4 linked regions of the Neodiprion lecontei genome follow. The protein of the gene in region 3 purifies or fractionates together with the protein of the main gene of each other region. This does not show direct contact. Links are inferred from orthologs where the notes say so. Each region holds a gene or a part of one and is shown on either strand. Other genes may lie near its edges. The genes, in order: DNA-directed RNA polymerase III subunit RPC4, DNA-directed RNA polymerase III subunit RPC2, DNA-directed RNA polymerase III subunit RPC8 and DNA-directed RNA polymerase III subunit RPC3.

Evidence for each region.
Region 1: the proteins of DNA-directed RNA polymerase III subunit RPC8 (region 3) and DNA-directed RNA polymerase III subunit RPC4 purify together in Homo sapiens (affinity purification with mass spectrometry; 6 studies listed by BioGRID and IntAct, counting the BioPlex papers as one, with this or other methods). This does not show direct contact. The link is inferred for Neodiprion lecontei from reciprocal best matches to the Homo sapiens genes POLR3H and POLR3D.
Region 2: the proteins of DNA-directed RNA polymerase III subunit RPC8 (region 3) and DNA-directed RNA polymerase III subunit RPC2 purify together in Homo sapiens (affinity purification with mass spectrometry; 8 studies listed by BioGRID and IntAct, with this or other methods). This does not show direct contact. The link is inferred for Neodiprion lecontei from reciprocal best matches to the Homo sapiens genes POLR3H and POLR3B.
Region 4: the proteins of DNA-directed RNA polymerase III subunit RPC8 (region 3) and DNA-directed RNA polymerase III subunit RPC3 purify together in Homo sapiens (affinity purification with mass spectrometry; 5 studies listed by BioGRID and IntAct, with this or other methods). This does not show direct contact. The link is inferred for Neodiprion lecontei from reciprocal best matches to the Homo sapiens genes POLR3H and POLR3C.

The regions. Positions count from the first base shown.
Region 1 is NC_060260.1:24,686,177-24,692,610, reverse strand, and holds DNA-directed RNA polymerase III subunit RPC4, read right to left. Parts: upstream 4,622-6,434; 5' UTR 4,598-4,621; intron 3,508-4,597; exon of another isoform or gene 3,193-3,507; intron 2,979-3,192; 5' UTR 2,977-2,978; coding exon 2,735-2,976; intron 2,664-2,734; coding exon 2,552-2,663; intron 2,467-2,551; coding exon 2,205-2,466; intron 2,112-2,204; coding exon 2,013-2,111; intron 1,711-2,012; coding exon 1,589-1,710; intron 1,490-1,588; coding exon 1,244-1,489; intron 1,155-1,243; coding exon 1,035-1,154; 3' UTR 532-1,034; downstream 1-531. Other genes in the region: serine/arginine repetitive matrix protein 1, read left to right, coding at 1-173. UniProt on the Homo sapiens protein: DNA-dependent RNA polymerase catalyzes the transcription of DNA into RNA using the four ribonucleoside triphosphates as substrates.
Region 2 is NC_060260.1:21,914,720-21,919,480, reverse strand, and holds the start of DNA-directed RNA polymerase III subunit RPC2, read right to left. Parts: upstream 3,003-4,761; 5' UTR 2,905-3,002; coding exon 2,827-2,904; intron 2,339-2,826; coding exon 2,184-2,338; intron 1-2,183. UniProt on the Homo sapiens protein: Catalytic core component of RNA polymerase III (Pol III), a DNA-dependent RNA polymerase which synthesizes small non-coding RNAs using the four ribonucleoside triphosphates as substrates.
Region 3 is NC_060262.1:18,917,722-18,924,968, reverse strand, and holds DNA-directed RNA polymerase III subunit RPC8, read left to right. Parts: upstream 1-1,962; 5' UTR 1,963-2,104; coding exon 2,105-2,215; intron 2,216-2,458; coding exon 2,459-2,642; intron 2,643-3,049; exon of another isoform or gene 3,050-4,190; coding exon 4,191-4,331; exon of another isoform or gene 4,332-4,810; coding exon 4,811-4,935; exon of another isoform or gene 4,936-5,984; coding exon 5,985-6,038; 3' UTR 6,039-6,703; downstream 6,704-7,247.
Region 4 is NC_060265.1:6,940,910-6,945,674, reverse strand, and holds DNA-directed RNA polymerase III subunit RPC3, read right to left. Parts: upstream 3,218-4,765; 5' UTR 2,961-3,217; coding exon 2,814-2,960; intron 2,716-2,813; coding exon 2,597-2,715; intron 2,508-2,596; coding exon 2,377-2,507; intron 2,285-2,376; coding exon 2,029-2,284; intron 1,717-2,028; coding exon 1,508-1,716; intron 1,366-1,507; coding exon 1,212-1,365; intron 1,145-1,211; coding exon 784-1,144; intron 691-783; coding exon 550-690; 3' UTR 534-549; downstream 1-533. UniProt on the Homo sapiens protein: DNA-dependent RNA polymerase catalyzes the transcription of DNA into RNA using the four ribonucleoside triphosphates as substrates.

The sequences.
Region 1 (6,434 bases), on a different chromosome or scaffold from region 3:
AGCACAAAAAACACAAAAAGCATAAGAAACATCGTAAGCATAAAAAAAAGAAGGCTGTAGAGTCTGAAGAATCGGATGCAAGTGAGGGGAACACGGAAGAACTCGAAAAAAAACTACGCGAAAAAGCCTTGAAATCTATGAAGAAAGGACACAGTATTGAACAAAGTGACTAAATGGATTGTGCGTAATTCATGCAAGATAATGTCAGAGAAGTTGGCGTATTTCAAATAATTATAGGCTGTTATTTCTTAGGTTGGCTATGCCAAAGTAACGATTCACCCGATCCAACAAACAAAACTGATAATTAACGGTTTTGTATTTTAACAGACTGCGGTTGCAATTTTTGAGGCAACTTCTTTGATATTACCATTAAAAAATAATTTGGTATTTATAAAAAAAAAGTACCATAAAAAACTAAAACTAAAACTTACAATAGTTGATTGTATCTATGCTAGTAATTTTACAACTCGTTTTTTGTTGTAATTCTCATGCAATCAGAAATTCAAACTAGAGGTAAAAGTTTTTTTTACGTTTCTGATTGCCAAAAAGTGTTCATACCATGCAGTGTGAAATAATCAATTAATTTGTAAATTAAGTTGACATGTGAAAGGATGTGTGACAATCGAAGAGCATACCTAACATTGTGAAATCGTATGAATCGCGTGTCCGTGAAATAAAAACTGTTTCAACTAAGAAAAACTTGTAACTTTTTTTCCACGTTTAAATACATAAATATCATATTATCACTAGAAATTTTAGTTGAGATGTGAAATAATTAACTTAATAATACAAGGAAAAAATTTACGGGGCCTCAATTTTATCACCCAATGTTTCCGCACTATATTTTATGAGTTTTTTTTTTATGGAATATGATTTTCATGAACTTGCGATTTTTTTAAAGAGTACTTCAATTGCGATATCCCACGCAAGAGAGGGCTTCGAATTTCAGATTTCGTTTAATTTTTACAACAGCCAGAATAATATCTAGTACAATTAATAAGTTAAAACAATTGAAATTTGCTTTTCTCATAAGTTCAAAGATTATCTAACATTGATTCCCAGTCGGGTAAGCAAATAAGGGTACTGCTGACTGAGCCAAGGTTAATAAGTTCGCCTTCAAGTTTTTCAAGGTCCAATTTGGCAGCGATTAGATCCTGAAACAAAAGAAAAGTTTCAACAAATGCACGCCTTTACCCACATGATGACGTTGATAAGATCACAGAATTTTTTCACTTGAACTTACTTGTCTGAAACTGATGTGCGAGCCCACATCTACAATTAATTTGTTATCCCCTAAAACAAGTCTCGCTTGTCCAGATTTTAGTATTTGTAATTTCCCTAGCATTCCTTCCTTCAAGTTTTTCAGCGTACAGTATTCAGTCTTGGGATTGATATCACTAGGATTTGCTGAACCTAAATCGGTTGTTCTTCTCGCTTTTGGATCACTCAATTCATCATCTGTTTTAAGTCCAGGTAGGCAATCGGGAAACTGTAAAGTACAACGTATAATTTACGCCACAGGATAAGGTTCAGTCCAAGGCATATCTGTGCAAAGTGAAAAAAAAAAAAAAAATTTCATCGGTTGTACCTGTAGTAAAATGTAATTATTTGCTTCGTTTGCAACAATTTGTGGAATAGTGATAAGTTTTTTCTCCTCTGTTAGCGATTTCTTCGGTAACGAAGTTTTTGCTGTGTTATGTTCTTCTGATACTGGAAAGAATGGAAAATTTTAAGAATTAATTATTATTGCAACGTTTCGTAATGAATGACAGTAATCATGCACGACATAATTTTTTTTCCTCTTAGAAGATTATTTGTTTCAATACTGAAAAAATTTGAAGTACTTCAATCAGTCCAAATTTTATGATTAAGAAATTAATTAATTTAAGAACTTTAAAATTTGATGATTCAAATCGATGTGCAGTCCGTAAGTATTTTACTTCTGCCATTTGTTTGAAGATTTTTTATTCCATAGATCTGGAAACTCCTACAAAATAATTTTTGTGACGTACCTTTTCCGTTTTCTAAGATTACTGGTTTCACATCTTCATCTAATCCATCAGCCTTTATTACTTGGGGTTCTTCCTTGAATTCTTTCTTGTATAACTGTGCTGGAATGATAAATGAACAAAAAAAAAGTGACAGAAGTTTAGTTGTCTCATCAAACTTGCATGAAGGCTAATTAAAATAGGTTTGATACTGACCATCATCAGCCATAGGTAGCATCACTGGTGCATTTTCCATATCTGGTACAGCTCCATTTTCGATAAAATCATCTCGAAGCAGGTGCTTGAGTTTCTCTTCTTCTTCAGCTTTATCAATCTTCTGGTTTAAATTTAATTTTTGTTTTTCTAAAACAGTACTGGCACTTCGATTGCCGCTCAAATTGCTACCATCTCTGTAACTACTGAATCTTTTTTTGGCTCGTGAAGAATCTGCTATACCACTGGAGAATACTCCGTCAGTCTGCAAAGAGTACATATATACAAAAAATCAACCATGAATGTTTGAACACTGTAATCCAACTTCTGATTAACAAAGATAACCTAACCTGGATAATGTTATCCGAGACTTTTCCTTTGCCTCTACCTCTTGTACTTTGTCCTCTTCCGCGGCCTCTTTCTCTTGGAACTTTAGTATTATTTTTTACAGTAGTGTGATCACTGCAAAGTAAAACAGATTACTACATCTATGATGCCTTGATAACAATAGTATAAATGTGATTCCTGCTTACTCTTTAGCTTTATTTCGTTGTACGTTCAAGTTTGGAGTATACAGTTTTTTTGGTTTTTCTAGTTTCACATGCCCGCCTAGTGTCCAATCTCGTGGCGATCTAAATGAAGTAAGCCTCGTAGAAGGTAGTCCAGCCTCAATTTTCACATTTGTTAACACCGTTGATCCTGATGTACCCGGTTCTACTTTGATCTTTATTTTTGGATCCAGTTCTCTGCTGTTTTTTGATTTATCCGAGTCCATTTCTAAAGGAAATCCAATTAAAAGTCAGTCATGAACCTGGATAACAGTTCAGTTTATATAAAACTAGAAAACAAAGAAATAAAAGCAGTCAAGCAGTTTTATGGCATGACGAGTAAATCTACGCTGATAGTACTAGAGAATTTCAGTAAATTTAGTTAATTTAATTGCTAAATTAACTGACATTCTCTCACGCTATTAATCCAAGATACAAGTTACCTGAAAAATAATATTAATCGATTGCGTTTTCACTCAAATAGCCGTTTGCGATAGTAACATATCCTTACTCAAGCTAACCTAAAATTGGATATAACGTGTATTCGGCGTGTTGACTCGGACTGGTTCAAAATCCAATGCTGATCTGTTTACCAAATATAGTGATGTACTGCCGTTATGTTATAATAGAAAATATTTAAGTCTGCGACAGTTGAAATTAGCCACTGTCCACTAGAATAGTTTATTTGTTTAGACTTATTGTTAGGCCAGGCGTCTGTGGGGCACGTGTGCATACGTACAGTTGCCTACACATGTGTGTTGTATACCGACCGAGCGGACGAATGTTGATTGGCCTGTCGTCCTCCAATCGGAACATGGACGATCTGTCATTTTTTAACGAGTGCGAAATTTACAAACTGTCCTTACGCTTTGACACGCTAGAGATAAAAGAGATTTACAACTTCTTAATGATATCAGTTCGAAGTAAACGAAGTTCTGCGCTTAATGGGAGTACAGAATTATTTCGATTGAGTTCGCTCGATTTATGGTTATTATCACTGTATTATCATTCTGAAATATGCGCAATAATTATTGGCAAATGATTTTTATATGCTTCTGAAATACAAGGGTGCTGCAATACTTCTTTCGCAATCGTGTACATTCCAGTAATCTACGATCTTTAAACTTATTTAATGGTTTAAATATAAATTTTCCGTATGGAAAACATATCTACATCGAACATAGTTTATTTTTCCAAATGTAGTTTTTAAACGTACTAAAATTAATCTTGCTGAAAATAATATCAAGTACTTGACCTCACAACAAAATAAATATTTTACGAGTTAACAATTAAGTAGAACTCATTGTTTCACTTTGGGTTCTTAGTAAACTTATGTCTCTAACTGCGAGGGCTTGATTTTTCATCGGTGACTTAAGTTGCTATTGGTTTCATTGTGTAGGAAAAATTGGAATAGTTTACTACAGAAAGTAAAAAGGACAGGTGCGTTTGGTTTGTTGCATACTGTATTTGATGGGATGGTTTTTGAACTTTGCAGAATTGTCGAAGCTGATCTAATATCAATACTTTTACACAGTGTATGCTTTACACTCCATTGGCAAACAAAAGTTCAATATACCTGCGCATTGACAAAATTAATCTTTATTCACACGGCTATGCGATTCAAAAAATTTGCATTGTAATTTGAAAAATATGTTTCTATTACTAGGCCTGGTTTCAATTTATTCGTAGTACATAGTAGAATATTTCTTTCCTGAAGCAATTTACTGGCATAAAATATCGAAGACTCAATGAAAAATTGATGTAGTATAATTATTTTCGTTCTCCTACCAACTGCATGCTTTTCCATTATTTTTGAAATCGTATTTCACACAAGTCAGTATAACTTACCTCGATTCTATTTTTCAAATTATACCCTCAGGACGTGACCTTTCTTGCTTCGCTGGTAATACTTTTATATAATACACATATATATTGCATTGGAGGATCTATGTCCAGGTTGGCTGTTATATGATATATTAGCTCGGCAAAGGTCGGCAACGAGATTCAAGTTGAGTGGATATTGGATAGTGGATACTGGCTGTATATGTCTACCAACTGCAGGTTATCTTATGCATGCATTGTAAACAATGCAGAATGAGAAAAATGAGAAATATTATTACCCCGTCTCCGGTGTTATGGAACTTGAAAGATAATTCTCTGCGCCACCGCGCGAAACGTGCAGCGTTATCTAATTTGAAGTATTCTTCGTGGTCTGTATACATAGCACGTGTGTATACGTGTACAGTAGTTTGTATACCTATAATCATGTAAGCCATGCTTTTGCATGCGCATTCCTGACGTGCGGACGGTAATACATATTACAATATATCGCTGGCCTAATCGTTAAAACAAAGGTGTGACGGGTTCCGTGTGAAGTTACAAGAATATATCAAACTTCTAAGGAATAGTCTTGCAGCATTGAGTGCGATACGATCGAGCAGCGTCTCTGGTCCATGCGACAGTTATTTGACGACTGTTTTGAAATCCATTATATCGGGTGTTGACATACTTACCGTAAAACTTTGGAATGCTTTTTCTCAAATTTTTCAAATTTTCAGAGGTGAAATTCCGTTATTGCAATTGACTGTGTCTATAATTGTAAACTCAGATCATTCGGGTGACTTACATTCGATTCTTACCTCAGAATTTCAAAATTTGGAAAGGTGGATGCAAAATTCTCAGATTACAGAATAAACCTTAGTATACGGTATATTTGCATCCGAGTTTCTAGGATTTCGCAGACACTGTGGTAATTAAATTTCATGACTAAAATGCATACGTTTTCGTGCTACGAGAAATTGTAATACCGGTTTTATTCCAGTCGTCCTGTTGTTCATATTACTCAAGTTTTATTACGTTCCAAAATTCAAATCAGAAACTAACGGTTGCTTATGTAACAATAACACGAGTTTACAACAATCTAACTATCAGATTTTAAGTCCAACGCCAACACGATTGCGGAATTGATTAACAATCGTTTCTGAATAAGAATGACGTTCTGTATGAAAATTTTCGTTATTCCTAATTTGAACTTATACTCGATGAATTTTTTATTCTTATTAAAAGACACATGATAGAAATTCAGTCGGTGATCCCGCATTACGCGATCATCAGCTACAGGTTTCAGGGGACTGCGTCTGTGTAGCGGAAATATAACAAGTGACTCTAGACAAGAAAAATGACGAACGTTAATCTCAGCGTTATATGTATATCTATATAGGTATGTATATATATATATATGTCTATTTATATCATCAGTAGCCGTGAAAAGTTGACTTGCAATAAATCACACGTGATCGTGATGCGCTGCAGTAATATAGGGCATGTGAAGCGAACGCCCTTCCGCACGTTTCTATTCGTAATAAAAATAATCGGTACGTACGTACGTGATATATAACCGGCCGTGAATTTGTCGAGAGGAATGAAAAAGAAAAAAGATCGGACGTAAAGAGCTGCGATATAGAGTGTCGAGGATCCAGATGAGTTGGCCCCTCGCTATTCTATCACGCGTCTATAGAGTCCCCTCGGAGTCCTGAAAACCAATTCGACCCTCTAGCTCCGTGGCCGATCGTTTTGTCTACGATCAGCGACACGGATCCACCAGCTATAATAAAACGAACGTAGCGACAATCGGCGTCGCCTGTCCCACCAGGGACTCCATTTTCCACCCGTGTGTACAATTATG
Region 2 (4,761 bases), on a different chromosome or scaffold from region 3:
ATTAAGCACATAAAGATTTCCATCTTATCGGCATTAAAAAAATAACAATTACAATGAAATAACAATTACAACGAGAGAAATGCATTTGAAATTAAATAATAATATAAATTTATGGCACATGTAATACATATAGCCAGAAATCTAGACGTAAAAAAGGTGTTTTTTTTTATATTAGCAAAAAAAAACAACAAACAAATCAGTATTTTTAACTGCTGGCACTTGGGTATTAGCATTGAGGAGTAAAATCTGAGGCCTATGCGACCTAGAAGCGGCTCGGAAAGGACAGAACAATCAAAATTGGCTAAATATTGTTATGCCAATGTACAGTCACAAAATTCTATGATTAAAGCTAATCAACACTTACCTTGTAATTTGCGATTTGTTTCTTTGCTTTTTTTTTGTCATACAATTTCTTTTGTTGACACTCTGTTGTTTGATACTCTTCGATTCACTGTATAGGTCCGGACTGAAATTAAGTAATGCTCTCGAAGCAAACTGCGATGTGGCACCGTGCCGTATGCCGAGTGAGTTTATGCATGTTCATTCTCGCTCGAGTGTTGTCGATTGACAATCATACAATGTATGAAATGTACCAAGATATAATATTTCTTGACCAAAAATATTCGCTTGATAAAATTCTAATATACCTTCACATAAATACTTTTTCTCATATTTATGTTCATTCCGTACACTGCATGTAGATTGCCATTGAGTTAATATATTAGGTGTATAAATTAATTCTCGGCCTTTTTTCAACAATTTTGACATTTATTTATAAAAAAATGAATACAGATCTAATCTTCAAAATAATCGCCGTCACTTTGCACGCATTTTTTCCATTTATCGGGCAATTGTCGGATCCCGGCTCGAAAGAAAGATGGTGGTTTTGACTGGATGAAGTCGTCAATGCTCTGACGGACTTCCTCAGGAGATTGAAACTGGGTATCCACCAGGTGATGTTGTAGCGCCCGAAAAAGGTAATAGTCAGAAGGTGCAAGGTCTGGAGAATACGCCGCATGAGGGAGAATTTCCCAGCCCAACGTGAAGGTAACTTTCAGGGTTTCTTTTGCTGTGTATGGCCGCACGTTGTCCTGCAGCAAAATCACTTGCCTTGGTCCACTACCGCTGAAGGGTTTTTTTTCCTCGATAGCATCGCTCAATTTCATCAGTTGCACCTGATAACGCTTAGCAGTAATGGTTTCCCCTGGTTTGATTGTCTCATAATACATTACACCTTTGAAATCCCACCAATTACACAACAACAATTTTGGCCCGTGGATGTTTGGTTTTGCAGTGCTCGTTGTCGGCTCCCCCGAATAAACCCACGACTTTCGTCTCTTAGGATTATCGTACAATATCCACTTTTCATCCCCAGCCACAATTTTATGTAAAAAGTCTTTTTGTTTGAATCTGGTCAGCAGGCTCATTGGAATTTCACAGCGTCGACTTTTGTTTGCTGGGGTAAGATCATGGGGCACCCAACGCTCTTCCTTTTGTATCCTCTCGAGTTTTCGAGCAAGCTCCATTTGCGTTTGGTAAGGATTTTCGTTGAGTAGGTTCTCCAACTCCTCGTCCTCAACCTTTTATGGCTTTTCAGGATGATCTTCATCTTGGAGATCAAAATTTCCATCCCGAAACTTTGAAACCATGTTTTACATGTGCTATAAGATACAGCACTCTCTCCCAAGGCCGAACAAATCATTTCTTGTGATTTCTTGTAAGTTGGAAGACGAAAAGAAGGCAGTGCCTCAAGTGCTGCTTGTCGAACGACATCTTTGTTTACTATGTTTTTTGAGGTTAGATTAATCGGACCACAATCGGACTAAGTGGTTTGATAGCTCATAGATGGCGCCTCAAAACGCCCTATATAACGGAAAAATTTTTCGATTCAAATAGGTGTAAAATCAATTTAATCTAGGGGCCGAGAATTAATTTATACACCTAGTATAATATTTCGTATATATGATTTTCATGTGAAATGACTCGAGTAAGCACTTTCATTATTAGACCTAAGTCAAAATTTTATGCATGTTCAATTTGATGAAAAAATTCCATATTGCTATTTGAAATTCCCATATATTTCTCACATTTTCAAGGGCATTTTCAAATTCCCGGTTTTCCAGGAAGTCGGCGTCGCTAGACATCCTGTATTATACACGATTTTGATAAGTCATACTACTTACTTGACGTAGAACAAGGAATCAGCATCACTTAATACTTTCTCATTTGCCTTGACGATTTTTTTTATCTCAACATTAATGAAATAATTGAACGAATCAATGTGTTGCTTAACGAGGCCTTTGCCTTTGAGGAATGCAGGGACGAGCTTCCACTTATCCTACAACATCAAACAAGTTATATTGACATAATAAGTAACAGGCAAAGTCTGGCTTTTTAAGGATTGCACTAGAGTTCTAAGTGATGAATAACTGATTTCTTGGTTAAGGATTTTCATTTCTTGCGACTAGTGCGAATTTCACCCCATATTTTCCTAAGCAGATACATTCAAGATTTATAAAAACTTTCAATTTTTTTGGCACATATTTGAAAATGTTTAATATAAAGTTCTAGAAATATGGTAAATTTGTTGAAATTTCAGAACAAAATATACATAATCGAGTCATTAATAACAGTGTTTGACCGTAAGTTGCCTCTGCCTGGAATTCGGAGATTGTTGAGTAATAAAATCTTGAAAATAACCCGATTAAAATCGTTTATTTATACCCGCCCGGTATGCGTAGTGCATTTGTAGTTTTGCATTATTAGGCGAGGTAGGATTACATCAAATCAAGTTATAACCTACAAATATTTGAGATGGTACTTTACCTCGATATGTTTGGCTACTTTTCTGAATTTTTCAGCTCTTTTGAGACTGTTGTAATCATTCGATTTCATTTCACCCATTTTATCGCTGTTCTATCGTTATAATTTTACGTGTTAATATAAAGACATCGCAAACCAAAGCACAACCGAAAATTGGACACAATCTACCAAGGACCACGCTTTGGCCATACTAACGACAACCGTTCATTACCCGGCCGCCCGGCCCCAGAAGTGTATGGACGGTAGAGATAAGGAGAACCGTCTCTGTGTACGAAAAAGCTTGCGTCGAAAGATGTCAACTGAAGATGGCGTTACGGTAGCAGAAGGGTATATTTTGAAGAAAGCAACAAAAGATATTTGAGTTGGATAGAGAAGTAAACAAGGAAAGAAAGATTTCCGCTTTGTTATGGTACATTTTTCAAAATAAACATTAATAAAGAAAGCAACATTTTTAAGCGCTCAATGATTCGATAAATATTAAATGGAAGATGATATTGAAATGGAGAAACGTTGACATAAATTTTGTTTTTTGATAAACTAATTTCCAAAAATAAAAGAAGTTCATGTGCAAAATTTGAGAGAACTACATGTGCAAATTTTACATACTATTGGTCGGAAAAAAGACAGAGACTGAGGCGCATCATTCTTTTTATTTTTCATTTTTCGTGCACTTGGACAACTTTTCACTATGCAAACTTTACCTATTATTGACCAAACTTTAAAAAATTTTATAACAGTACACACTACAAAATCACTAAAAAGTATGATCAACAATTCACAAAAATTAAATCACTCTCCACGTTATCTCACAGCAGTTTTATGGGTTATATTCACTAAATTATTTTGGGCTACGTAAATAGTTGAGGTTTTGTATACTGTGATTTCATTAACTACATTAGTCACCAAAAATATTGAATTGTTCAACTCAGCTCACTTCACTCCGATTACAACTGCTAAATTCATGTCATATCCTTTAGCTGCGCTAGCGCTATTTTGGTGGGTTCTTGAACTGTTACTTGCAGCTTACAGCTGGACACTTTTTCAACTTGTCTCCCACATAAGTCGATTCTCCTTACTTCTACCCTCCAGACCTAGAAGAGATGCAAATAGAAGCGTCATTGACCACCGAACTCTAATATAACTGGAAGGCTCGCTGCAATGGTAAGGGATAGGACTGGCTTTCAGCCGAGTGAGAGGTATCAAATAAGACCACTCTCTCACTCGCTCCGTGTACAGCATTCCAAAAAAAAGCTTGTCCTCTTATTTTCACAACCTACATACACATTCTATTTGAATCTCTTTACGAATTCTTGCATTATCTTATGTTTGGGAAAAGTTTACCAATTTTTTTTTACATAAGATATTGATATATTGGATAGAGATTTCGTAATAATTAAATTAGGAAAAATTAAAGCAGGGACTGGTTTCTTTCAAAATACTTACAGACTTCCTCAAGTCGAAATACTTGCACAAAGAATGTAACATTACCACCAGGTATAAAGAATTGATTACATTTAGTCACACAGCAACCTCGCACCAGTTTTTAACATAATAATTTTTCAAACTTAACAATAAAATAAAATCCTTGGTTGTTCACAATGACATAATAGAGTTCAGTATGGTTTAGTAGGACTAGGATATCGCGGTGGTGTGACGTCGGAAAGGTACCTAGTGGAAATCTCCAGATGTAAGACACCGGAAACATTCACACACAGCTACAGCTAGACTCACATCAGTAGTTTGGGTCACCAATTACCGATTAATTATTGAAATACACCGGGCAACGGGCATTCTGTCGCTCTAATCGAACGAACCGAAGGAGGAGTAATTGTTGGATAAAAGATTTAATTAATTGGCTTACCTTTTTGAGAATATTCTGGATGTGATGACTTGCAGCGTAGATTGGTGAGAGGATTTAGCGGAATAACTGACTCTAAT
Region 3 (7,247 bases):
GAAGTTAAAACTAGTGGAAAAATTATGTTGCAAAGACACAAAAAATTTTCGGAAAGCATAATTCAGATTGATTGAATGACTAATTATGAACTCTAACGGCATATCAATCGTCTAAAATCTCTAGTTTTATGCATACATCGATGATTGGAAGTATTTTATAACATTAAATCTTAAATCCGCTGATTTATCTGGAAATTTATTTTTATTTTCACTCGTAGATGTGTGTTTCGTAGTATTGTGTAGCTGGGCATTCGCTTATTTTCACCCACACGAGTGTGCGTCCTCGGGTGTGCGGCCGGCAACGTGTGCCGCGGCAACAATACCGAGGTCAGCGGTCGTGAATCGGTACAACAGGGCGAGAGGGGTGGTGCCGATATTTAATTCGTAAACGAATAATAATAATTCACCCAGACGAACAAAACAGCAATTTTCGTGGCGGCAAATCCAGATGAAATGGTGCACTCTGATTGGCCTAACGCTATCGCTTATAATTCAAAAACTATGCGTCGGACGAGCTTGCGGCAAAGAAATTCTCGGTTGGATTTGAGTCAGGTATCACGCTGGCTGGTCCGTGTCCCCAATTTAGGGACATCCTGTATTAATATCGTACGTGGACCGCATAATACTTCTTGCTGTCTGCATCATTATTACATCTGATCTATTATTATTCATGATCTATGTATAAATTCTTCTCTCGGATACCTATACTTCAATTAAATCAATGCGCTGCTAGAATTTTGGAAGAAATTCATTCTCATTATTAATCTCTTGTATTACCGACAAGTCGGTAAGTACACACAGGCCAAGTACTGGCTTCGGCTTGCCATTGCGAAGACAGTGTTACTCGGAAGATGAATGCAGCCGGCATCATGTCGAAATCGGTAACTCTTTGATGTTCTGCAATAAGTTCTCAACTCTACCGTTGGAACATCTCAGAGGGCGCAAGCGCTCGACGATTTTTGGTTGTCACACCTAAGCTCATTTGGGCAACTGTCTTTATATTCTTCAGTTAACCGCCACATCATCAATAATATTCTACCCCACGGTCTTACATACAGGTCTGAAACCCCTATGCTGGGAGCCACGATTATTCGCGTCGCTTTACCAAGAGAAAATCTCTATTCTAGCGGGACTACCAGTTGTCGCTGCGGTCTAGTTACCAGGATAAGAATAACCTCAATAAATACGGGGTATGTTCCGATATACACTGCGAGCACTGTAAGGTGTGTCGTCAATTTAGTATACTGCGAAGCCGTTCCTGTATAGTTAGCTATACTGGATACTGCTTAAAACGGAACGCAGTACAGTATACTGTGATCGACATTTTTTGGCGTTACTTTCATTTCATACATAATATTTGTTTCACATTGCAATAAACACAATTTATTCAAATTTTCCATTTTTGTTTTTAACGGCCGGTATTTTTAAATGTCAATATTCATTAATAATAATTATCAATAGTGGAAGCTGTTAAATTTCTGAACGCTGTTGATCACGTGATCAAAGCACTGAGAGCACCTTACCTCGAAAGCACCGGTGTTCACAGTAGAAAAATGGCGACGATTTATGACGTCATATATTTCCCTAGGATACTGCGACTGTATACTGTCCGTCTATAACGGAACGAATTTCTCCCCAGTAAGAGCACTGAACAGTGCTCGCAGTGTATATCGGAACATACCCACGATGAGTGGGTGAATAGCATATATGTATATGTGCGAATCCACGGCTTGTGTGGACCCCCCCCCCTCGTGTTCGTAAATTGACTGCCAGTACTAAAAATTCCCTAGGACAGAGACAGAGCTGTCCATGAACTCAGCAGCGCAAAAGAGATAAAAGATTGCTGACAGTACTGGCAGTCAATTTTCGATCACGGCCAAGATCGCAACGAACCTGGTGGCGACTACTAGTGAACACAAAAATGGCTTCAATAAGCGATCTGCCCCCCCCCCCCCAATGGAGTTTCCAGCCAGTATGCAAGACCGTGGTTTTACCCGTTTCTTTTCAAGCATGGAGAAAAGACGAGTTCCATGGACGCGCCTTGGTGGTCAATAACAAAACAAAAATAGGTTATGTGAGTTGAACTCAGGAGTTCGACGCCAAGATGTTTGTACTTGCCGAATTTGAAGACAATGTTCGAATTCGTCCGTGGATGTTTAAGCGAAAATTGAACGATGCTATTGCTGATGAGCTGAACAGAAAACTAGCTAATAAGGTAGGTGAATTCTTGGAAATTACAATCTAATCGATCTTCTACTGAAGTACAAATTTGTAAAGCAGATAAACAAATTCCTGGTATATTGTGGGCTTTATGTTCTTCTTATAACACGATTATTTTACTGAAATGTTTTACAGTAAACAGTGAACAGATTATTAGGTTAATAAAATTAAAGGAACCAAATTGACTGTTGATTCCTAACGTCTACTAACTGTATTAATATGGTATCGTTAATTTCAGGTATATCACAACGTGGGCCTGTGTATTGCTTTACATGATATGACTCGTATTGAAGATTCTTACATTTTTCCTGGAGATGGTTCTTCTCACACAAAAGTGACCTTTCGCTTTATCGTGTTCAGACCATTCGTTGAAGAGATTCTTGTTGGAAAGATTCGGAGCTGCAGTGCTGATGGTGTACATGGTAAATATTTTAATTCATCCAAGTCTGGGAAACGTCCCGAAATTACTGAGTTTCCAATAATTGCATATCTTCTTTTAAAGTATGATAGTTTTGTCGAAAAATAAGTAACTCTAAATCGTGACACAAATGAATTAAGTATATGTTATCACTCGTGATTAAAGACGAGGCTTCGAACTTGGAAATTGAGATTTCAATTAATTTAAATCATTTGAATAAATGAAACAGAATCATTAGCACATATGTAGTTGAAATACCTGTGTTGAGATTGCTGAAATTGGAATGTATCTTGGATTCAAAAAGTCCATCAGTATATCTTTACCTCAAGTTTATTTTCTGTTCTAAATTTTAAGTAAGTCAGCTAAAGTACTTGGTATTATCGAGTTTTTGGCTGTTGAATTTTTTTTTTCAAATCAACTTGCGATATTGAAATGGAAGATGGTAATCAAACTAAGAAGTCTTCCAGTACATCACTGCTAAGATAATTTTTTTTCTACTAAATCCGGTTTGCAACCTTCCGACTCATTGAAAATCGCCCAATCCCACACTTATAACACAAATATTATTCCTGTACAACTTAAAAATTAACGACTTTCTACACGTTAAACATGCGTCGAAAACCAAACTTTTTGTAAGGATGTTGACATAAAGTATTTCCATAATTTTTTTTTCTGCTGTACCGTACTGCACATATTATACTTAATATGCAACTGCAGGTGTAACACAACATTTATCTTATGTCTCGATTCAGGCTGATCTTCCAATAATTCATGAAATTACTTCCCTAGCAAACCAGAACCATGACCTATATGTCTTTTTACTTTTACACTGCTGAGCCGATGTATAATTCATGGGCAATTTTGTAGGAGACCTCAGTGTCTGTCAAATAAATAAATAATTTTTCTTTGCACAACATACATGATTTACCTAGTCTCTTTATTATCTATCGTTTTCCTGGCAAGATTTGATTACGATTTGTTGTTTTTGATATGTTCTCGACGTGATCGTGATTCCATTCTATAATTATGCTTGCTGTACTTCTTCATTTTCAATATTTCAAGGAAGGTATTATGACTAAATCTACGCTTGGTGCTCCCATTGGAGTGTTTACATTTTCACGTGGCAAGCCTTTCACGATATGCTCGAAACAACTAATACTATCAGCTTATAATCCTGTAGTTGAGAAAATTAAAATTAGAACTTGTAATTTTGTACATTCAAAACATGGAAGATCCTCGCAAAACTGTGAACAGTTGGGTATTATTAATTAGATTCAAAGAATTGTGAAATGAAGAGAGAGTTCCATTATAAGTCCTAGAAGTATTTTAAACCGTATTTCCAGACAGAACCAGTATTTTTTTTTTACATTTATTCTTTAATGTTTCTACGATTTTTTGACGCTTTATCAATGAAAAATTATTCACCCTCATGCTACATTGAAACCAATAGATCTAGTAGTAAAATGTCACAGCAAATTACATCCATTCTTTTTCACGCTGTGCAACATGAATTCTATTAATATATTGTTGTACAAATATTTTTATTATTTAGTCACTTTGGGATTTTTTGAAGACATAATTATCCCTCCTCATAAGCTACAACATCCTTCAAGATTTGATCAAACTGAGCAAGCATGGGTTTGGGAATATGATACTGGAGATGGAGATAAGCATGACTTATTTATGGATGCTGGTAAGATTTACGTCAATCCATTAAGGTCTAGTATAATCTACCCTTGTCAGTGTGATCCTTACTCGATGATCTTCCCTCAGTGGTTACTGAAGTAATATGATCGATGCTATTAAAACGTACACAGAAAAATATTATGAATCAGTTTCACCTTTTTGATATCGATTTTCCGCTCTAACCATAGCTCTGAGGAAAATGATATGTTCCAAGAACACTGGAATATCGAGAGTGTTGTAAAGTATCTAGGAACAAGTACCTCTTTTATACCTAAGTACATTCCTTAGCAAGTACCTTCTACTTGTACCTAGGTCCATTTTAAGAGTACCTGTACTTATTTATAGGTAGAATGAAACATACTTTATTTACGTAAAAATATCCCCGTAGAGCACGCTATATATATCATAAGTGCAACTTTACGTGGAATATTTATGATTTATTATCGAAATACAAAGTACAAATAATACCTCTATTGATTTTTTCAGGTGAAAGTATACGGTTTAGAATCGTGAATGAAACTTTTATTGAAACATCACCCGTTGGTCCGTCTGTTAGCACCGAAACTGTTGAAAAATCTGAAGTGAATTTAACTTCGCCATACACTCTCAGCGTACGTATATTTTGTTTAAATAAATGAGTCAAATCACACCTGTCGTTACGTAAAAAATTGCTGGTCATACAATAACTGGTAGGAACCATCTAATTATCTGGCCATGGGCGATTTCGTCAACTATGCCGGAAAAGGAAAATCTGCGCAGACTTTTTTCCGTACAGTAAACTTTCCATAACTTCTTATTCTCGGTCTACTTTGAGGGGGACAATATTACGAAGGCTATTTTCATCCTGATTAGTCTACTGTAACCGCGGTGCAGGCAATGCATTTGGGGAAACCCGAATGATGGCGAGAAAATGGGACGAAACGGACAGGATTTTCACGCAAAAAGAAATGCTTCAGAAATGAATCGAAATTCATCATAAAAAAGTTCCATAAAATAAAAGTTTTAATAGGAAAAACTTAATAAACCTAAAATGGATGATACTTTCTTCACGTTATTCATTACTTCTATATTTTGAGTTCAAAAAATGTCGAATACTATAAGAAATAGATTTTTACAAAATCATAAAATTTTTAGCCTTGGTATTAGTTTTTCCTCAGTCTCTAGATAAATTTATTTCTATACGTGGAGCCCGTTCATAGAGAAGGCAGTTTAACGATAAGCGGAAAATTATCCAGGAAGAAGTTATCGAGAGTCAGAAGTACCCTGCAATTTTTTATGATACTGCGATTTTTTTCTTCATAAAACTGTGCTAGAATTAGACTAACCGTGCATTTATCAAAGTATTTCTACAAAAACGTACTTAAATGAGTCGTGTGATTTCTGTATGATTTTACACGGTTTTAAAGAAACATCGTTCACCTTGAATTCACAATTAATACACGATAATGTCTCTTGTGGAAATAATCTTAATCAAATAACCTGAAATAATTCAGCTTATGGTTTATTAATCTGTCATATATATGTAATTTTTTTCGCACATTGACCTAAAAAGTACTATACAATACTGGAAGTTTTATAAGAAGTTATTTTCGTTGAATCACGATCCTAAAACTTTTTTCCTGAAGAAAGACATTAACATGCATAAATTCGATCATTACAGGCTGCCATAGATGAGCCAGGCCTTGGACTTCTCTCTTGGTGGGAAAATAGTTGAAAGTTCAAAGAGGAATGTATAGGATGGACGATTCATAATTGTGATATAAAATGAGGGTTTGTATACCATGAGACGAGGCAATTTGTACAATACTTTTATTTTACCTAATATCTCGTTCTACTATTCTTAGCATCTTCTTTATTATCCGTACGACAAATTATTTCATCAGCAAAACATCACGAAGTAACACAACACACATCGGTTTCGTTTTAGAATCATAACGAAATTGCAAATTTAATTAATTTCCTTTTCTCTTCGGTATTTACAATTATTACGTTCTTTGTTATCTTAAATGTATATTTTCACGCGTAAAATATTTTCAATATTCAAATACTATTACTTTCCCAGCAGCTAACTGTCATTCGCTTCTTACGTTGTCACAAAATTTCCATTTACTCCAAATAAGCCATCCAGTAAAATTATTCACTTATTATAATTACTGTTGTAATAGCAGTTCATTTAGTATTTACCTAACTTGGTGCGTACATAACATGCCAATACGACAGAAGACTTGGAGTAGAGTAAGTTTGTCAAAATAAATAATTTTACAAATACGGTTTACCAATTGTTTTACAATGTATAAGTTGTAATAACATAGCATAAAATTATATGTCAATATACTTATATAGGTATATAATTATAAATAAAAAAAAATCTCCACAGTTTCTGAGTATTATCTGTTGCCTTACTATCACTATTGACTGAGCACATCCCAATTGATTAAACTAAAACCACAATCAACATTAAATTTATTGTTTTAATAATTGGATAAATTTAATAATTATCAATTTTTATTATACAGAATATTTTCAAATTATTATCCCGAGTCGCAAATTTTGAGGACATGGGTTATCTGAGACCAAACTAAGATTTGAAATACCCAAAGGACAAACTAAGTGGACTCGTACCAAGATTCAAGATTTAAGACTGAGAAGAAGCACGCATCTGCGTTCCTATCGTGAAGTGCGGTGCTTAGAATTGGTATAACGTCACCAATTTGCCGAATTTTGAAAAAATCCTTCACCCACTGATTCTCCATAATTCATAGTATCAGATCACGGGAAAAAATCGATTTTTTCAAAGTTCTAGACTAGAATACCACCTTAAGTTTAGGCGTTTCGTCTCGGTAGATATTATACGATCGTTTTCGTTAATGATCTACTTGGGGAAATTTAGCTGTGTATAAATATCGTTTCGAAAATACGTGAT
Region 4 (4,765 bases), on a different chromosome or scaffold from region 3:
ATCGGTTGTCGTAAATTATTTTTATTACCTTTTTACTTCAGTTATTGGCCAAAGTTTTTCTGCAATAATATGTCTGTGCGCGCAATATGATGTGTCTGCTCGTGATGCAATAATGTAACGATTCCGAGATTTGGCGAAAAACAAACGGTACGTAAACGAAACTATAGCGTATAAGTCTTGAAATTTATGAAGTCACTAAACTTCTTGGTTATTTATAAAACGAACAGTTGAACAGTTATATTTATTTTCTCACACTTACTTGAAACTTACCAGCGTTCTTGTTCATTTATTTACATCGCTTTGATCTACAGTATAATGTATTTATATGTTTATGAGCATTTCATTGGGTTGGAATCTTATTTGAACGCCCTTACAAACAAAAAAATATTTGGATCCCGAGAATGCCATCGAAGCACTCCTAGTTTTCTCTATGTTACCAATGGTAGTCATCTTTCGAGATTCTCTTGGATCGCCGAGGTCACTGGCTTTATGAAATTTGTTCATTATTCTTGTCTCATTGTCAAACAACGTGATTGAATATCAAAGTTTTTATTTTTCTTGATACCGTGAATACATTGTCAACAAAAATAACGTTTCATCTATCTGTAGTTCGCTGGCACCAAGTTTTTTAATTATGTCTTGTACTTTGCCCAGTTCTAACTTTTCAGACGGGGTCATCATTTCCGCTATCTGTAAATATAACGGGAAACAAATCAATTTCAGCTTAATAAGCATTCCTTAAAATCGGGTTAAAGACTTAATTATATCTATCAAAATACCGACATCGTTTAACTGTTCTTCTGTGGCCCCATGTTCCTTCAAGTTACTGGTGAGCGTTTGTACCCGCAAGTGTTTCTCAATCATCCTCTTATTCACCGTGTTTTCGTGATCCCGCCGCTGTATGGTATTATAAAGAGCATGATAGCAGTGACTTATTTCCATTCCGACAACCTGATCAAGGTCTATGTGAAAAAGGAAGAATATTTTTGTCGGGGCATTCGAAACCGTCGTCTTCTTTAATTCTTGTACATGGATATAATTCTCCTGCAGCAACGTGTACGTTAAATGCTTAGCTTCCTTAGCAGGTATCATCGCCAACTGCTGGATCTGTTCCTGCTCGACGTATTTTCTTGTACGTACCAATCTGCGACAGAACATCTTATTACTTACACGTTATATGAGTGCTGTTTGGTAATATGTTGAATACTGACCTAAATATTCTTGCAGCCTTTGATCCGAATCGTTCAAGGACAATATTCTCCAGAGTAGTCCACGTTAACTGTGTGAAAGCTTGTTTCATGTTTATGCTAAACTGTCCACCTCCGCTATCTCCAACCCTTTTTAAAAACTGGCAAGTATCTTCCTCTGCAATTACACGATTTCATTTTTTTTTCTTTTCATTTAATATCTCTGGAATTAGAGATTCAAGATTCTGAAGATATAATGCTATTTGAATGGTCGTTGTCAGTGACTGATATCAGGTCAATAATCAAAATAATTTACTGACCAATAAGGCACAAATATTGATCTAGGTGTTGAATTAACATGGGATATTTCAACTTTCTAACTGCATCCTTTATTTCCACGTAAGGTATAGGATTTGACGTTGCCCTCCACTCAGCTGTGCGCAAGTACATTAGATTCAGCATTTGCCTCATTAGCTCTCCGGCATTATCATCAAAACGCTTAGTGATAGCAGAGACCATGATTTGATCCCTGAAATGTAATATACCACGATAAAGTATGAGGTTGAAGTTCTTAGCGTTATCGTAACAACGCAGTTTCATAAAAACTCGTTATTTTGCAATATTGAAATTTTCTGGAATTTAATAAACCATAATACAGACGGACAAACTTGTATTTGGTAAATTGAACTCCGTCAGTTGATATGAAGCTGTGAAATGTGGACGTTTATTTCAACATTTGGTTACTCTAACATTACTAACTTCAGTCTCATTAGAAAGTTAATGAATGCAAATGACTTTATTCATGCAAGTTGATAATTTCTCGCGGTTTTTGAATTGTTACCTGATATCTTGAGTGAATCTGTCGAAATTAATGCGCCAATATATATTATTGTCTCCAGGGTTTGCTGCGATGCCATTGGCCATTCGAGAAAGTGCCAGGAGATTAAGATCTGGGAAACTAAAGTCAAGCTTTTCTACGTTTAAATCTATAGGGTCCTCTAGAGCAGCTGGCGTAATAATGGAACGCATTAAAAATTGATGCTTGACCAGTGACTCAAATTTTTCTTTCAATATTTCCACCGGTTGTTGGCGGTCACCTGATGATTTGACAAAAATTACAGAATTTACATGTACATATGGCAATCAAACAACGAAGAGTTGAATAAATCTTTTAAAAACAATCGCTCACTCGATAGTTGCTTCAGTCTTTGGTAAGTTTTGACTATTATTTTCGAAGCTGTTTCGTAGCCTCGTCTTAATAGCTCTTCTAGCATAATTTCAGCTTCGTCACCCAGCAGACTTTTGACGAAAAACATGTACCTTGAAGGAAGTTTAGTTTGAGAAGAATAACAGGACAATAAATCGAATATAACTTGCAGCTATTTTAATCAAAGCATTGAGCACGATACCTTGGATATCGCAGGATCATCAAAATTCGCTCGTGAACAATAATATATTCGTTGAGTTTATCATTTTTGCTGTGTTCAACAAATCCATACTTTATAAGAACGCACATCACCTCCTTGATCTGTATATAAATAGAAGAGTTTAGATTAATGGGATAAGATTTAATTCCAATTAATACGTTCTTTCTTTCCAAATTATCTGAAATTGACGAAGCCGTACTTTGTTAAGCGGCAGATTTACAGCTGCTTTTATAGCTCGTAGTGACCTCCGATCGTATTTCAGTAAATCGTCACCCACAGTTTGCACGACAGGTCCAAAATGTTCCAGCAATAAAACGGAACATAATTTACAAAGGTAGATTGACATGTTTCACACATTAAATACAGTATTTGACATAAACTTGAGGTATAAACACGGGTCTAACCTCAAACATAACTTAGCTTTACCTAAATTCACTCTAAATAAATCGGAATGTTTTGAGGTTACAATGAGCGTCGACTGAAAGTAGCCGAATTTTGGGTCATGAACAACTTCAAGGCTGCCAACATCATGCAGCACTAGCCTAGTCTCGAAAAACTCTAGGGTGTATTCCGAAATATACTTTCGGTACTGCCGACCGTGACGTCACGCAGTCAACTGCGAACTGCTTTCCGATTTTACTCCGAATTGCCAGTCGCAGTAAAATCTGAACGCTACTTTCCAACTACACCGAGAACGTGGCCATCTCTCAAGTACTTCAACTACCTCACGTCCCAGCCGCAGTAGCGTCAAGAACGTCACAAATTTGGTGACGTCACTGACTGGCGGCAGTACGCTATCGCGTGATTTCGGAACGCGATTGCCAGTACGTGCAGAACTGCCACAGACATATATGTCTATGAGTACTGCAAGTATATTTCGGAATACACTCCTAGTTAATGTGTGACTAACATTGTCTGATAGAGCCTCGAGTTTAAACAGAATTTGATCACGAAAATAGAGTTAGACGCAACATCAGCTTTGATTAAAGATATATACAGACACACAGCTCTGAGTTATTTTTTGTAGCAATTGGGCGGGTTTAGGCAGGTTTGGGGGTATTAGCAGTTTCACGTATTATCAACGTTGACTAAAGAATATGAAGACGGATACCCCTGGGTAAATTTTGGTGAACAGTTTTCGGTGGGCGAGTGGGCCCAGGTGGACCTGGGAGCGTAAGAGGGTTCTGCTCTATCAACTCTACCTAACGGGCACGCGCCAACATTCGTAGCAGCCAAAGCAGTGTAGATGTGATAGCGTGAGAATGAGTCGGTACAAAGTTAGTACGTAAGACTACTTGTCCACTGCGACTAAGAAATGTCGATCAGCTCGATCATCCCCGTGACAAGAAGCGTGGAGCATCCACCGCCAAACACCCCCAACTGCCACCGATTACCTCGCACCATTTCCGAACACCTCCTACCACCCCCTGCCACCTCCTGCCGGCGTCAACCACCGCCTACCATTTCCGAACACCTCCAACCACCTCCTAACACCTCCTACGTTGACTGAAAAATATGTAGACAGTTGCCCCAATGGGATTTGATGTGACAACCGAAAATCATCGTGCGCTTGCGCTCCCTGAGATGTTTCAATTGTAGAGTTGAGAACTTATTGCAGATCATCGGAGAGTTAACGATTTCGATATGATGCTGGCCGTATGCTGGGTGCATTCACTTTCCGAGTAACACAGTCTTCGCAATCATCATCCAACTATCGCAGAACGACTGCGTTATTAGCTGACCCGTTAACTGAAGGATATATCTTCAGTCAACGGCGGACCATCGAAGGGCCTGGCCGCTTGAGTCTGGAATCGGCAGGAGAGATGAAGTGTGTATTTCTTGTATGAAACGTGAAGACTAAAAGCATTATACATCATATCATATCATCATACATCATACATCATACATCGTACATCATACATCATCATACATAGTATCAAAGTTCGAAACCATAGTTTGGATGTCGGACGTTCAGAAAGTGACGTCACCAATTCAAAATCAGCTAGCCGAATTCCTCAGTCGGGACACAACCGCGCAGTAGAGCGGACGCATGAGAGTCGCGCTCCGCAAATTTCGAGTACCGGGTTCTCAACCTCACGGATCCCGCGCTTCGGGTCCGCTACGTATTTCGAGTACCGGGTTCTCAACCTC